2 linked regions of the Arabidopsis thaliana genome follow. The protein of the gene in region 1 interacts with the protein of each later gene in a pairwise test. Each region holds a gene or a part of one and is shown in the gene's direction. Other genes may lie near its edges.

The links.
Region 2: the proteins of AT-HSFA5 (region 1) and NAC062 interact in a two-hybrid assay, tested with the Arabidopsis thaliana proteins (one large-scale study listed by BioGRID).

The regions. Positions count from the first base shown.
Region 1 is NC_003075.7:8,075,005-8,082,287, reverse strand, and holds AT-HSFA5 (winged-helix DNA-binding transcription factor family protein), read left to right. Parts: upstream 1-2,879; 5' UTR 2,880-3,040; coding exon 3,041-3,286; intron 3,287-3,614; coding exon 3,615-4,769; 3' UTR 4,770-4,781; intron 4,782-5,067; 3' UTR 5,068-5,385; downstream 5,386-7,283. Other genes in the region: FBD1 (FBD-associated F-box protein), read left to right, coding at 619-1,578, 1,662-1,802, 1,892-2,170. UniProt on the Arabidopsis thaliana protein: Transcriptional activator that specifically binds DNA sequence 5'-AGAAnnTTCT-3' known as heat shock promoter elements (HSE).
Region 2 is NC_003074.8:18,360,388-18,367,962, reverse strand, and holds NAC062 (NAC domain containing protein 62), read left to right. Parts: upstream 1-3,003; 5' UTR 3,004-3,245; coding exon 3,246-3,423; intron 3,424-3,693; coding exon 3,694-3,974; intron 3,975-4,068; coding exon 4,069-4,308; intron 4,309-4,400; coding exon 4,401-4,697; intron 4,698-4,792; coding exon 4,793-5,002; coding exon of another isoform or gene 5,003-5,026; exon of another isoform or gene 5,027-5,120; coding exon 5,121-5,324; 3' UTR 5,325-5,520; downstream 5,521-7,575. Other genes in the region: AT3G49540 (uncharacterized protein), read right to left, coding at 1,560-1,964, 2,068-2,163; AT3G49520 (F-box and associated interaction domains-containing protein), read right to left, coding at 7,213-7,575. UniProt on the Arabidopsis thaliana protein: Transcriptional activator activated by proteolytic cleavage through regulated intramembrane proteolysis (RIP). Transcriptional activator involved in response to cold stress.

The DNA.
Region 1 (7,283 bases):
ATTTTTTCTTTTAAAAGAAAATCCAAAAATATCAACAAAAACCCTGTAAAAGATTGGTCGGACTATAAAATATAGGTTCGGAATTTTAACGGGACGAACCAAACTAGATTCAAATAGTTGATTTTGCGGGTTTGGGGCGAGCCGGGCCTCACATGCCTAGGGTTATGGTTTTAATATGATGTAACACCGTTTATGGTTTTTGAATATAAATTCGTCGATTTGCACCAAAACTTTTTTAATCGGTTTGGTTCGATTTTTATCTATAGTGGGCTAAGTTCTTAAAAGCCCAGACTTGTGTTTTTTTTTTTCGTAACTATAGATCGATCACTTAAAACTAAATTAAACTGAACATGTTTATTATTTATTATACACGTAGTTCGAAACAGCACTTAGAGACTTTTCACCTTTCCACTACTGACCTGAAAAAGTTGAAACCCTAAAACTGGAGTGAAGACACAGTAGATACGATCGGAAAATTCCATGGAGATTTAAGCATCTCAATCTCGATCTCGCTCCGTTTGATCTGATTAGGTACATATTTCTGTCATTTTGATGTCTTTCACGTTGGAAGATTTATTCGATTCTTCATTTCAGTTCGATGTTTGCTAGGCAGATAACATGGAAGAAGACAGGGAGAGCCGCGTTAGTGCGAAGCCATCAGGTGATAGAGTAGATCGGCTGAGAAACTTACCAGATTGCTTGCTTTTTAAGATTCTCTTGAATCTTCCCACCAAGGATGTGGTTAAGTTAAGTGTACTATCACGCCGCTGGAGAAATGTCTGGAGATATGTACCTGGTTTGGACTTGGAATGTGGTGATTTCATGGTGAGGGAGTATTATGATTCATCGGAATTCAACGCTTTGTTGGGTTTCGTTTATAGGTTTCTAGGTTTTAATAGCGAGTCGTGTTTACAAAAGTTTAAGTTAACGGTTAATTGGTATGACGATGTTCAGCTTGAAACTGTTCATTTCACCGAGTGGTTTAACGCTGTTGTTAAGCGGAAAGTTCAACATCTCCATATCCTGGACAAAACTTGGGGGAGAGATGAAGTGGTGATACCCCCAACAGTTTTTACGTGTGGGAGCTTGATATCCTTAAATCTCTATGACGTATACTTGCCTAATCGCGAGTTTGTGTCTTTACCTTCCCTCAAAGTTATCGTTCTAGATGCAGTTGTGTTTGACGAAGATTTCGCTTTCGAAATGCTGGTCTCAGGCTGCCCAGTTCTCGAAAGCTTAAGTGTAAACAAGATTAACTTGAACGACATTTCAGAAAGTGTTCAAGTGTCTTCGCAGTCTCTATTGAGCTTCAGTTATGTTGCAGACGATGATGATTATCTAGAAGTTGTAATTGATGCTCCTAGGCTTCACTATCTAAAGCTCAATGATAAACGAACTGCAAGTTTTATAATGAAAAATCATGGCTCCCTTCTTAAGGCGGATATTGATTTTGTGTTTAACTTAGGTTCCGAATATATGTTCGATCCAAATTATCTACCAACGAGACATATAATTCGTGACTTTCTTGTCGGTTTATCTGGTGTTAAAGATATGATCATCTCTTCGAGTACTCTTCAGGTAACCATCATTGAATTTACTATTTGAATTCTTCACTTTATCCTATAAGTTTCATACTAATATCTTTTATTTTCTTCGAGCAGGTCATATATGATTACTCAAGATGTGAACAACTACCCTTATTCCGTAATGTATCTTTCTTGCGTGTTGAATTCGCCGACTACAGGTGGGAAATGTTGCCAATCTTTCTTGAGAGCTGCCCGAATCTAAAATCTCTTGTCTTGGTTAGGATCTTTACTTAATAATAAACTCTCTTCCTTACTATGAATGCAAATGGTAAAAGTAAGACATATTCAACTTGTTGTCTTTGCAGGGATTTAGTATACCTCCAGGGAAGGAGGGAGCTAATATTTTACCTGGACCCCGGCGGTTTCTAACATCTCTCGAGTATGTTAAGATTGCAAAGCCGATGGCAGCGGAGGCAAGCGAGATAAAACTGAAACTAGTGAGTTACTTTCTAGAGAACTCAACAATCCTCAAGAAACTCACACTATGCTTACGTAACTTCAGAGAGAAGGAAGAATCTGTCATCGTCAAGAAACTCCTTACCATTCCAAGACTCTCTCCTTCATGCCAAGTTTTCGTTCTCTGATCCTCAATATTCCTCATAGTAGTCTTTATTTCAGTGATGAACACAAAAGGTTTGTCTTTTGGGTACCAAGTTATCGTTAACTCTGTTTTTTTCTTCGTTTTATCTATCGTAAACTTTTAAGAGAATCATATGTTTGGTATTTTGTCAAATATGACTATTAATGCTTTCTCGTCAACAAAATCCTTATTGAATTATTTATTAACACTATATAAATAGATATATCCTAATTAATTATAAAAAATTTGAATGCATATTTACTTATTTTTTTCATTAGTTTGACAAACATTATCTATTTTATCGTGAAATCTTTATAAATTATCAAATAATAATGTCAAAATTAATAATTATTATAATGTTTTAAACTGGTTTAAAGGCTAAAAATTGGTTTTAAGATCTCACACAAATGACAAAAATGAAAAATTAGAAGTTTTACAATTGGATAGAATAACACGATTTAAAATAACAGAAAAATATAGATAACTCCACTCAAAAGATTTCACTCTATTAAACTTCACTAGCTCTATTTGTCTGATATCTTTCAATTGTGAGATATCCAAACAAAAGACAGTGGATAGAAATTAGTATCACAGTATTTATACTCAAACAAATTCGTAACAATATTTGTTGAATACTATGGTCTATAAGACTATAAGTAACACTCAAAAGAGTCATTTTTATGAAATTTATCATTTTTACTTGGCCATTTGCAGTTTTAGCTAAACAATTTAGGTATTTTTTGGGTTTAATTTGCAGTTTTAGATATTATTAGTATAAAAAATGAAAAGAAAGTTATTCATTTATTTACGGCAAAGGATCTCTCTCTTTCCCAGCATCACCATCTCTTGTACCAGTTTCTGATTAGATTCAACAATGAACGGCGCATTAGGTAACTCCTCCGCCTCCGTTAGCGGCGGAGAAGGAGCCGGAGGACCAGCGCCTTTCTTGGTGAAAACCTACGAGATGGTCGACGATTCATCAACGGACCAGATCGTATCGTGGAGCGCTAACAACAACAGCTTCATCGTTTGGAATCATGCCGAATTTTCACGCCTCCTTCTTCCAACCTACTTCAAACACAATAACTTCTCTTCCTTCATTCGTCAGCTCAATACCTATGTGAGTCAGATTCTATCCAAACTCTTCTATATTCCAAGTTTTGAATTGACCTAATTTTGATCAAGTTTCCAATGTAAAAGGGGTTTTGGAAATGTTAGAACGCATCTAGGTCTCTGTGTGATTTATAGACTGAATTATGGAAATGAGTTTATGGATTGTGGATTGATTGATTCAACGAGAAGATGAAATGTAGCTAAAAATTGTAGTCTCTGTGTGATTATGGACTGAATTGTGGAAATGGGTGAACTTAGAGACTGTGTTGTTTTTCCTCGTTCTCTGCTTTAGGTTTCTATTAACGGTGTGAATGTTGTTGGGATTATGGTTATAGGGGTTTAGGAAGATTGATCCAGAGAGGTGGGAGTTTTTGAATGATGATTTTATTAAGGATCAGAAGCATCTTCTCAAGAATATACATAGAAGGAAACCTATACACAGCCACAGTCATCCACCTGCTTCGTCGACTGATCAAGAAAGAGCAGTGTTGCAAGAGCAAATGGACAAGCTTTCACGTGAGAAAGCTGCAATTGAAGCTAAGCTTTTAAAGTTCAAACAACAGAAGGTTGTAGCAAAGCATCAGTTTGAAGAAATGACTGAGCATGTTGATGATATGGAGAATAGGCAGAAGAAGCTGCTGAATTTTTTGGAAACTGCGATTCGGAATCCTACTTTTGTTAAGAATTTTGGTAAGAAAGTCGAGCAGTTGGATATTTCAGCTTACAACAAAAAGCGAAGGCTCCCTGAAGTTGAGCAATCAAAGCCACCTTCAGAAGATTCTCATCTGGATAATAGTAGTGGTAGCTCGAGACGCGAGTCTGGAAACATTTTTCATCAAAATTTCTCTAATAAATTGCGACTAGAGCTTTCTCCAGCTGATTCAGATATGAACATGGTTTCACACAGTATACAAAGTTCCAATGAAGAAGGTGCGAGTCCCAAAGGGATACTGTCAGGAGGTGATCCAAATACTACACTAACAAAAAGAGAAGGCCTACCATTTGCACCTGAAGCTCTAGAGCTTGCGGATACCGGGACATGCCCGAGGAGATTACTGTTAAATGATAATACAAGGGTGGAGACCTTGCAGCAGAGGCTAACTTCTTCAGAGGAGACTGATGGTAGCTTTTCATGTCATTTAAATCTAACCCTGGCTTCTGCTCCGTTACCGGACAAAACAGCTTCACAGATAGCTAAGACGACTCTTAAAAGTCAGGAGTTAAACTTTAACTCAATAGAAACAAGTGCAAGTGAGAAAAATCGGGGTAGACAAGAGATTGCAGTTGGAGGTAGCCAAGCAAATGCAGCTCCTCCAGCAAGAGTGAATGATGTATTCTGGGAACAGTTCCTAACAGAAAGGCCAGGGTCTTCAGATAATGAGGAGGCAAGTTCGACTTATAGAGGTAACCCATACGAAGAGCAAGAGGAGAAAAGAAACGGGAGTATGATGTTACGTAATACAAAGAATATCGAGCAGCTGACCTTATAAACTATTTGGACGGTAATACATCCTTAAACCTACTCATTAATTATGATTCCTTTACTATTTTGTGATTCACATGTTAGCTTTCTCGATATGTGCATGATGTTTGGCAACAATTTGGTTGTTTAGCTAGACATTGTCGACAAATTCTTGTTAAATGAACCTGCATATGCAGTATCTGTTAAACGTTTATTTTCTGCTTGAAAATCATTCTGCACTTATTAGTGAACCCTAGCAAGTTGTCCTCATTTACCCGATTTATGCCAATTTCTAACGCAGAAAAATTACGCATTTGTATTTTCAGGTTACATCAACGAGAGTACGAACTGTGGTTTTGGTAAGAAGTATGGGTGAGTAAGTAATGAAACATTGGACTGAAAAAGCGTAAGTAGCTTTGTTGTAAACACTTGCGTCTCTGTCTACACAAGTAATTTGACTGTAAATGTAAGTGTACAGGATTTAAATTGAATAAGCATTTTTTTCGTGTCGTAAATGTCAAAACAATATGTAGCCTTCCCCCAAATCTTAGTACCGACGATATTGGTAACATCCGCTGAAATGTGTTACTATTTATTTTATTGTAGTCTTACTCTTTTTATTAATCAATATATTTTGATGAAAATCTTCCGGATAGCATATTTAGCTTTCGAAACTATTCTCGACCCTTACTCGTATTCTTCCGTTATAAATGTATTAAGTAATGGTTTATATTTAGGAAAAATGTCATATTTAGCTTTTGATGTTTAGATCACTTGTTAATGTACAAGATCAAAGACATAAAAATTCTATTATTATTTTGGAGACAGTTTTTATTTTATTACAAAATTCAAAAATATGTTTTGAAATAAACAGTTTTCTCTATAGTTTTATTTCTATGTTGTAATTCAATCAAAACAACCATCTCAGATATATAATCTCCACTTTGTTCATTTTGATATAGTTTTTTTTTCAAGTAGATGTGCTAAATCTCCAAAAACAAATATATTTTGTTATCTGTTGCGTTCTTCATGATTATGTGGAAAGTGGTTTATCAAATGTTAGATTATGTATGTGGCTTTGTTCTTTCTTGTTATGTTATGTATGTGTCCTTCATAATTATGTGGAAATTGTTTTTTGTTGTTGATGATTTGGTGACTGGTTGAATTTGACCATTTTGTCATTTTGTGAACTATGCTTAACGGCCAACGCAATGGGGATATTGAGGTGGTTTTCTCTAAGCGGCTATCAAAGACATTCAGACAGAAAGAATTGGAGTATATTTGGATGCCACTAACGAGGCTATATGGTTCGAAAAGAGTAATCGTCTCCTTTGATAGGATACAAAGTGTTTGGTCATACTTTTTTTCCGTTCACTTGTATATCTATCTAAAAACCCGATTGCATTACAAAATTTCTTTGGGCGGTACATGGGACTATTTGTCAGCTTAGATAACCCAAAGGAAGATATCGAATTATTAATCTAAAGAATATCCGAAAATTCGAAATAAATTTACATATCCAAAATATTAGCTATATTTAGTTACAAAATTTATACCACAAACTACAAAATAACAAAAATATCTTAAATAACCTAGGCTTCCAAAATTTTGTAGTTATATTTGATAAATTTATACATTTTTTTTTTTTTGCAAAATATAACCAAATTTTAGTATAATCAAAATGTTTATTATTTTTTTGTTTTTTTCTTCCAAACACCAATCCAAATTCGACAGCTATTTGAATTGAATAGTCATAAAATCTGAATATATAATAAACTCTTCTATCCAAATTATCCAAATCCAAAAATATTCAAACTAAATCCTATTCAAAATCTGAATGCCTAGGCATAGTTATATACTTATATACAGTAAACGGATTTATTTCGGCGGGTATGGTTCAGACAGAGACTTCACACCCGTGGGCCGACGTGGAATTACTCGACCAAGGCTTCACTAAAAATGAATATGTGCTACTAAAACGCACCGTTTCTTAGTTTAATTCAAACGGCGTCTTATTGCTTCTCACTCTCCCAATCTCGATTCTCAGACTCAAGACACTCTGGAAGAACCCTAAAGCATTTTCCTCAATCGTTATTGGGGTTTTACGAATTCGACATCTGTTTCTGACTCCGCCGGGTAAGTGATTATTTCTCTCCGTTGAACCTACCTTGAAACTGAAAAATTCTCTTTTGATTACTCCGTTCTTTCACTCGATATCAGAAGTTTTTTTCCTGTTTCATTTTTTCTGTGTTTATGACGAAGTCCTTTCTCTCCTTTGATTTGTCTATCGAGGTCATGGTCTTGTTTTTTTCTCTGAAACCCATTTGGGAGTTTTCAGATTTTTAGTTGAATCGAGAAATTTGATCTTCAATTTCCTGAAATTTTGTGTAAAGGTCCCATTTTTAATGCCTAGTGCTTGCTTTTTCCAGTGGTTTACCCAAATGCTTGAAATGATATAAGTTAAGCTCCGGTCATTTGCGTCGTTTATGTTTTTTACGTTAACCCTTTTGGGGAATTGCGTCTTTGGGCGACAAAGTCTTCA
Region 2 (7,575 bases), on another chromosome or scaffold:
AACACTAATTTTGACTCGGCACTGAATAATATTTGTTGGAGAAAGAAAGTTTGTGAAGAAGAAGAAGATGAATTGGTCATTTTTAACTATTTATAGAAATCAATCTAACTCCGTTACTTGAAAAATAAACGGTATATTTATTTATTTTTATTGTCAATTTTAAAAATGATTACAGATTTCTTGAGCTAATTTATTGATTTTCTACAATTTCTTTTGTCTTTTCTTGGCGGTTAATGGGGAAATTCACGTGTCTATTAATTTATGGTTAGAGATACTACTAAAATATCTACTCGTATATTTGCATATTAAATGGCCTATTTAATAGGCGTGGGCAGGAAATGGTATTTGATAATGTAATTAATTAGTTATTTGGATATTTATTTATAGAGTAAGACGGCAGAAAAAAGTCCGTGAAGTAACGGTAAGAGGAACTGAATCAAACCATTCTCACATTTCTCAAGACTCTAACCATTGAAATTGAATTTTTTTCTCTTTTGGCCAAACAAGAACTAAGAAGAAGAAAAAACGACTATAAATAGATGGCACAAGTCATTCATCACAAAAGAGTAGCTAGACCTAGAGAAAGCTAGCTAAACAAGGATAAAACAAAATACGTAAACACCTTGTTTTGTATTATACCAATAGAAAGAGTTAAATCAGAATTTGGAGGAAGGTGTACGGAATCCATCCACCGTGAGACCACAAATTGAGGTAACATGATGATAGAAGTTTTGTTGTAGCGACGAGAACAATGTTCCGTATACTTCATATACTGCTTAAAACCAGAAGTGTTTATGCGACAACAACCTTCATCACTAGTCCAATCCTCCGAATCCTGATGAATGATGAACTGTCAACTCTTGTGTCCGCAAGTTACCAGATACAAAACAAGAGTGTTTTTGACTCCATAGATAGATAATATCAGAATCAAAGGGATTCATTGCCACTTGAAAACATTCGAATATACTCCAACAGATGCAATGTTGATTTCCGGTGTCAACAACTGCCAACATTCATCCTCTAAGTGTTAATATTCAGTCTCCAAATCCTCAATATTCGATGTAGTATTTCAATGCAGATCCCATCTCCTCGTGAAGTAGTCAAACATCTCTTAACATTCTAACATTAAATTGAAATCATTTAGTAATATTTGATATTTTTTCTTCTTTTCTTTGACACTGCCAATTACGATTTATGAGCAGGACTTAAGATTGCATATACAATCAAATGAAAGATGGAGTCACATCACAAGAATAAAAAGATCAATGATCAAATGAAAGATTTTAGTTTTCAGGGGATTTTGCATCTTTCAATGTTTTCGATTGTATCTTCCGGAGAAAAAAGAATCAGAGATCGTAATTCACACACGAACACGTTCGACTTAAGAAATGTTGATTACAAATTTTCACGATGCAAAACTGATTTATATTTAATTGAATCAAAGAAGAATCATTTTGAGATACAAAGAACAACAAAAGCCAAACCAATCTGGTAGTAGCAAATCAAACCAAGGTGACATACAACAACATTCAAAATACTTTCACAAATTTAATTAATCATCAAACGGTGACAACAGCTTCTTTCTCTTCTTGTTTACTCTCCTCCTTTACTGGTTCAGCCTCAGCTTTTACTGGTTCAGCCTCAGCCTTTACTGGTTCAGCTTCAGCCTTTTTCTCCGCTTCCACTGCAACCTCAACCTTTTCGGGTGCAGCTACGGCAACCGCCTCCACCTTTGCTTCAGCGTTTTCTGTTGCAGCGTTCTCCACTTTCTCAGGTGCAACTACTGCAGCCTCACCAGCATCAGCAGAAGAAGACTCTTCGACGGCTGCAACCTCTGGTTGAACAGCAGGAGTTGTTTCCTTGGTCGGCTCGACCGGAAATGTCTCCTTAGCTTCGACAGAAGTTGTTTCAGTGGTCTCAGCCACTGTCTGGTTCTGTTTCTCACCGCTTTCTGTGTTGTTCTCCTGTATTAATTAATCATACCAAAAGATCATAACCGGTTAAGCCCGGTTCGGTAACAAAACCTAATTAAATTTTCATATTTAAAACCTAGAGATTAATTGTTACCTTGGCTACTACGTTTTCAGAGACAGGCTTGTTAGGAACAGAGCCTTCTTCGTTTTGCATGTCTGATTCCTTGGGTCTACTCGCACAGCCACCCATTATTATATATTTTTTTGGTTTTTGTGATTTTGGGTTGGGTTTAGGCTGTGGAGTGTGCAAAAAAAATTTACACAAACTTTTTTATTTTTCTCTTCTTTTTTATTAATGTTGACCCGAGGATTGAGCAAATGAAGAGAACATAATCATGGTTATATAGATGAAGATGATTCCGATTTTTATGGAGAGCCTTTGGTATTTTTTCTTGTGTGTGTTGAAGTATTCAAATTGGGGATGGCTAAGAATAGAGTTTAGCAGAGAGGTAAGAGTAAATTTAGATAGATGTTTCTCTGTATTTGAAAAGCTTCATTGATATCGTCAAACTTTTGGAAGTTTTGTGGACCTCTCTCGTCTCTTGTTGCTAGCTCTATTTTTAGCCGGTCCTAGCTCCAGAATTTTAATTCGATTTTTTGAATTTTGTAACTTGCAAAGATAAGAGGATTACGCCGTGTAAACGATGATGAATATCCTAATGATTATGCAGCTTTTTACTAATACATAATTTCATGAAAGAAGTTTTGATTAGGTTTCCAAAAGTCAAAGAAAGCGAAAAAATCTAAATAAATTAAAAAAGACAAGTTTCCAAAAGTCAAGAAAAGCGTAACACCATCCCAAAAACAAAGTGACATGCACCGAAACTTCCATTCCTTTCCACGTGTCATTACATCATTCGTTCTATGACATTTCTCATCACCTTCTTTTACAACAGTCATTCACTTCTCGCTTTTACCCCTGCATCTAGTTAATATCCCAAAGTCGCTCAAGGGCAAAACCATACTTTAACAATTTCCAAACCGCGTAACGTACTTGGTTTGCCGCGTGTACACACCACGCGCTGCCATCACCATATAGAACTCACAAAAGGAAAGAAAAAACCAAATCAAAGCTCACATCTGCCTTCTTCTTCACTTTACCAAAATCATCGAATCCATTTTTAGGGTTTTTGTTTTCTCTCTAAATTTTTATTGTTATCTTCTTCGCGATACCTTGGAATCGCATCTCTGAGATAGATAAATAATTCTGATTCGTATCTTTAAATCTTGGGTTCTTCTTCTTCTCGCGATTCGTTTAAAAGAGCAGCATCAATGAATCAGAATCTTCATGTATTATCAATGGATTCGTTACCAGTTGGATTAAGATTCCGTCCAACAGACGAGGAGCTAATCCGTTACTATCTCCGTAGGAAAATCAACGGTCACGATGACGACGTCAAAGCTATCCGTGAGATCGATATTTGCAAATGGGAACCTTGGGATTTACCTGGTACTTACTTACTTACTTCTTCATCTCTTTATTCATAAATTTACACTTTTTCTATAGATCCTCTTTGATTTCTCTGGCATTATGTTGAATTGAGAAATGGTAGAACTTAAAATTTGTAGCTTTAGTTTCTATGGTGAAGAAAGTTAATAACTTTAAACCGATCATATGTGTTTGATATAGTTTAGTTTTGGGTATGTGGTTATATCTCTGTTAAGGTGTAGTGTAAGTGACTGAAATTTGATTAAAAGATGTGATTTTTTTTTGTTGTAGATTTTTCTGTGATCAAAACTAAAGACTCAGAGTGGCTCTACTTCTGTCCATTGGATCGGAAGTATCCGAGTGGAAGTAGACAGAACCGGGCAACAGTTGCAGGGTACTGGAAAGCCACAGGAAAAGACCGGAAGATAAAATCCGGTAAGACTAACATTATTGGTGTGAAGAGAACTCTAGTTTTCCACGCGGGTAGAGCTCCTAGGGGGACACGAACCAATTGGATTATTCATGAGTATCGTGCCACGGAGGATGATCTTAGTGGTACCAATCCTGGCCAGGTAAATAATGCATACTTTTAGATGTGTAACCATTGGAAAACTAAATTTGGCTCTGTAGCTTATTGTGTGCTTGTGTTGATATATATATATGCAGAGTCCGTTTGTTATATGCAAATTGTTCAAGAAAGAAGAACTGGTTTTAGGGGAAGAAGATTCGAAGTCAGATGAAGTTGAAGAACCTGCTGTCTCGTCTCCAACTGTCGAAGTGACTAAGTCAGAAGTATCTGAGGTAATTAAAACAGAAGACGTGAAGCGTCATGACATAGCAGAATCTTCTCTTGTAATCTCTGGAGATTCTCATAGTGATGCTTGTGATGAGGCTACAACCGCAGAGGTGAGGACATTGAAAAATTCTCTTAGACAGTTTTTAGATGATTGTCTCTAGTGTCTGTTTGAATACTAATGATGTTTATTTTCGGCATGCAGCTTGTAGATTTTAAATGGTATCCGGAATTGGAGTCCTTAGATTTCACGCTGTTCTCTCCATTACACTCTCAAGTCCAATCTGAGCTTGGATCCTCTTACAACACATTCCAGCCTGGCTCGAGTAATTTTTCAGGGAACAACAACAACAGCTTCCAAATCCAGACTCAGTATGGTACAAATGAAGTAGATACGTATATATCTGATTTTCTTGATTCGATTCTCAAGAGCCCAGACGAGGATCCAGAGAAGCACAAGTATGTTTTGCAAAGTGGTTTTGATGTTGTAGCACCAGATCAGGTACATGAAGATTCCTCAAAACTCATTATATCATTTGTATGTACTTCTAGAAAACAGAAATCGTATTAACTCTTAACTACTTTACTTGATTGCAGATTGCGCAAGTGTGTCAACAGGGCTCAGCAGTTGACATGAGCAATGATGTTTCAGTGACGGGTATCCAGATTAAGAGTCGCCAGGCACAACCCTCAGGTTATACCAATGACTATATAGCGCAGGGAAATGGTCCAAGAAGGCTGCGTCTGCAAAGTAACTTTAATGGCATTAACACGAAGAATCCTGAGCTTCAAGCTATAAAGAGAGAGGTGAGAATAACACCCACCTTCTGATGAATTACTCATCCTTGGTTTCTTTTAGCGTGTATGTGGTTTCACGTCGCAGAGTGGAATCGATCCATGACATTAAAATGTTAATGCTATGCAGGCTGAGGACACGGTTGGAGAAAGTATAAAGAAAAGGTGTGGAAAGCTAATGAGATCAAAGAACGTGACCGGTTTTGTGTTTAAAAAGATTACGTCGGTGAAATGTTCATATGGAGGACTCTTTAGGGCGGCAGTAGTTGCAGTTGTGTTCTTGATGTCAGTCTGCAGTCTAACCGTCGACTTCAGAGCATCTGCAGTGTCCTGAAAACTGAAACTTTTTGTAAATATAGTGCTTGAACCGGCCCGTGTTTTTGCTTCTGTTATTGGTTTCAGGCTTTCGCCAGTTTATAAGATATATTTGTTTGTAGTTTTTACATGTAGTTAGGCTGCTTATGTAAACGTTATGATGACAGAGAGGTCAAGACTCTATTTACTTCTTTGACTTATTAGAGTTCTTCTCACATGAGTTCATTCTGGACAAAACTCGGAAGAGAGAAGTCAAGCGATCGAACCGGAGAGATCACAATAAAACTCATCAAAGGGCAAAAGTAAGTTCAACAAAATCATTTATCACAAAACCAAAATAATGCAAGCAAACTATATGACCAAAGCGGCTATCAACAAGAGAAAGGAGAGCGAGGCAACCATACCATAATCCTGGATTACCCGTAGAAGTGAACATAAACTAACATACACACTTTCTAAAATTGCCTAAACCTAAGATTTGTACCACCCAACACCACAAACAAGATAGCAAATGCAGCAATCTCATGGACGGAGGAATACAAAGGTCAGACGTTACCGGAGAGGAGGCTAAAACGGAAATAAATAGTATTAGTACCTAAGCATTTATTTAATAATACAACTTATGAATTTGGGTTTACAACGCTAGACGCAAGAAAAAAAGTGGAGCTTGTGGTGGAGTCGCAGAGGAGTATACATTCACTGTGTGGTATTCGTGTCAATAATTCACAAAATTGGAAGGGCTATAAATGTTTTTTGGCAATTTTTTAAATTACCATTAGAATGAGTTTTAGTTCCAAAAATATCATCATTAGTTTCTTTTACTCAAAAATACCACTGAAATGTCTTTTTAGTGTTTGTCTTTTGATTTTGTTTTGTCTTTAGTGTTTGTCTTTTGATTCTGAACGTTTTATAAAAGTGTATACAGTATATATTAACAGTGACTTGTGAAAGATTCAGAATTCTCTCTTGCTTCCTTTTGTCTAGGATGAGGCAAAGACTAAAACCAACCCTAGAGGAAAAGTTTTGTCTAGGATCCTCCTCGTGGCGATTTGTTCTATGCATCACACTTGCAACTAATTAGCTTGTGAACAATGAGCTAAAAAATGAGAGGAGAAAAAAGAGAGACGGAGATGCAGAGGAAAAGTTTGTCAAAGGAAACTGGATCGATGAGTCATGGCTCGTGCTCCTTCAAACCAGAACAGCCAAGTGTAGAGAGGAGTCAAATTGATGAAGATCACCAAGTTGTATCAGAAAATTCTGACCGTTTGTCATGTGTTGGAGCTAGTTGTGTATCACCCTTTGGTTTGAGAGGACAGGGAAATGAAACCCTAGTCAAAAGCGGTTCCGTTTAGACCGAAAGAAAAAGGAGTCAGAAATGACTTTGAAGCAGAAGATGGAGGCAGCAATAGCTGAGAAGAAGAGACAGAGGGAAGAAGAAGAGGGAAAGTTGAAGGATGACAAAAGACAGCGTGTTGCCAAAAGTCCGAGACAACAAAGAAAGGATGATAAAAAAAGCTTGTAGCTTTTATAGATCGAATACTACAATCACCGAAAAACACTGTTCTTGGACAGGTGAAATGAGATCAAAAAGTGATGATCGGAGAGCTTCTAGAGAAGCTTCTAAGGTATGCAATTTTCATATCTCAGTGACTTGTTATACAAGGTATTCAATTTTCATAATCATATACTCTGTTTGTTTGCTCTGGTCAAGATGCAGATATTATCCATGTTTAGAACATCAAATACCCGAAATCTAAAAAGATCTTCAATTTCTAAAAAGGTTTCAGATTGAAATATTCAAACAAAAAACTAGAAAAAGTGATCTTTACTTCACTAATGTCAACAATTGCTTCAAACTAAAAGCAGTCTCGTTCAAACCAAGAAACAAATACAGTATTGAAAATGGACTAAACTTGCAGTTGCAATAAACTTGGAACATAAGAAGAGCGCACAAGTTCGCCTCCTATCCAATGGGAATTCGAGATTACTCCAATGTTGACAGATTTGAAGTATCCATCATCTCCAACGATGTAAGCCATTTGGTAGCGACAGGTCTCTGTCACTTTAGTATCAAAAAGTACAGCGACTTTCTTCTCCTCGTCGATAAAAAAGCTTTTAGGTTCAAATCTAATCAAAAAATCATCCGTTAAACCATTGATTAGTGACATATCCACTTTCAAAAAAGTGCTCCACGAAACCGCATTGGGCTCAATCTTAGTCGAAATCCAAATCTCTATGATGTCAAATGTGTCGTAGTGGCTATATAACAC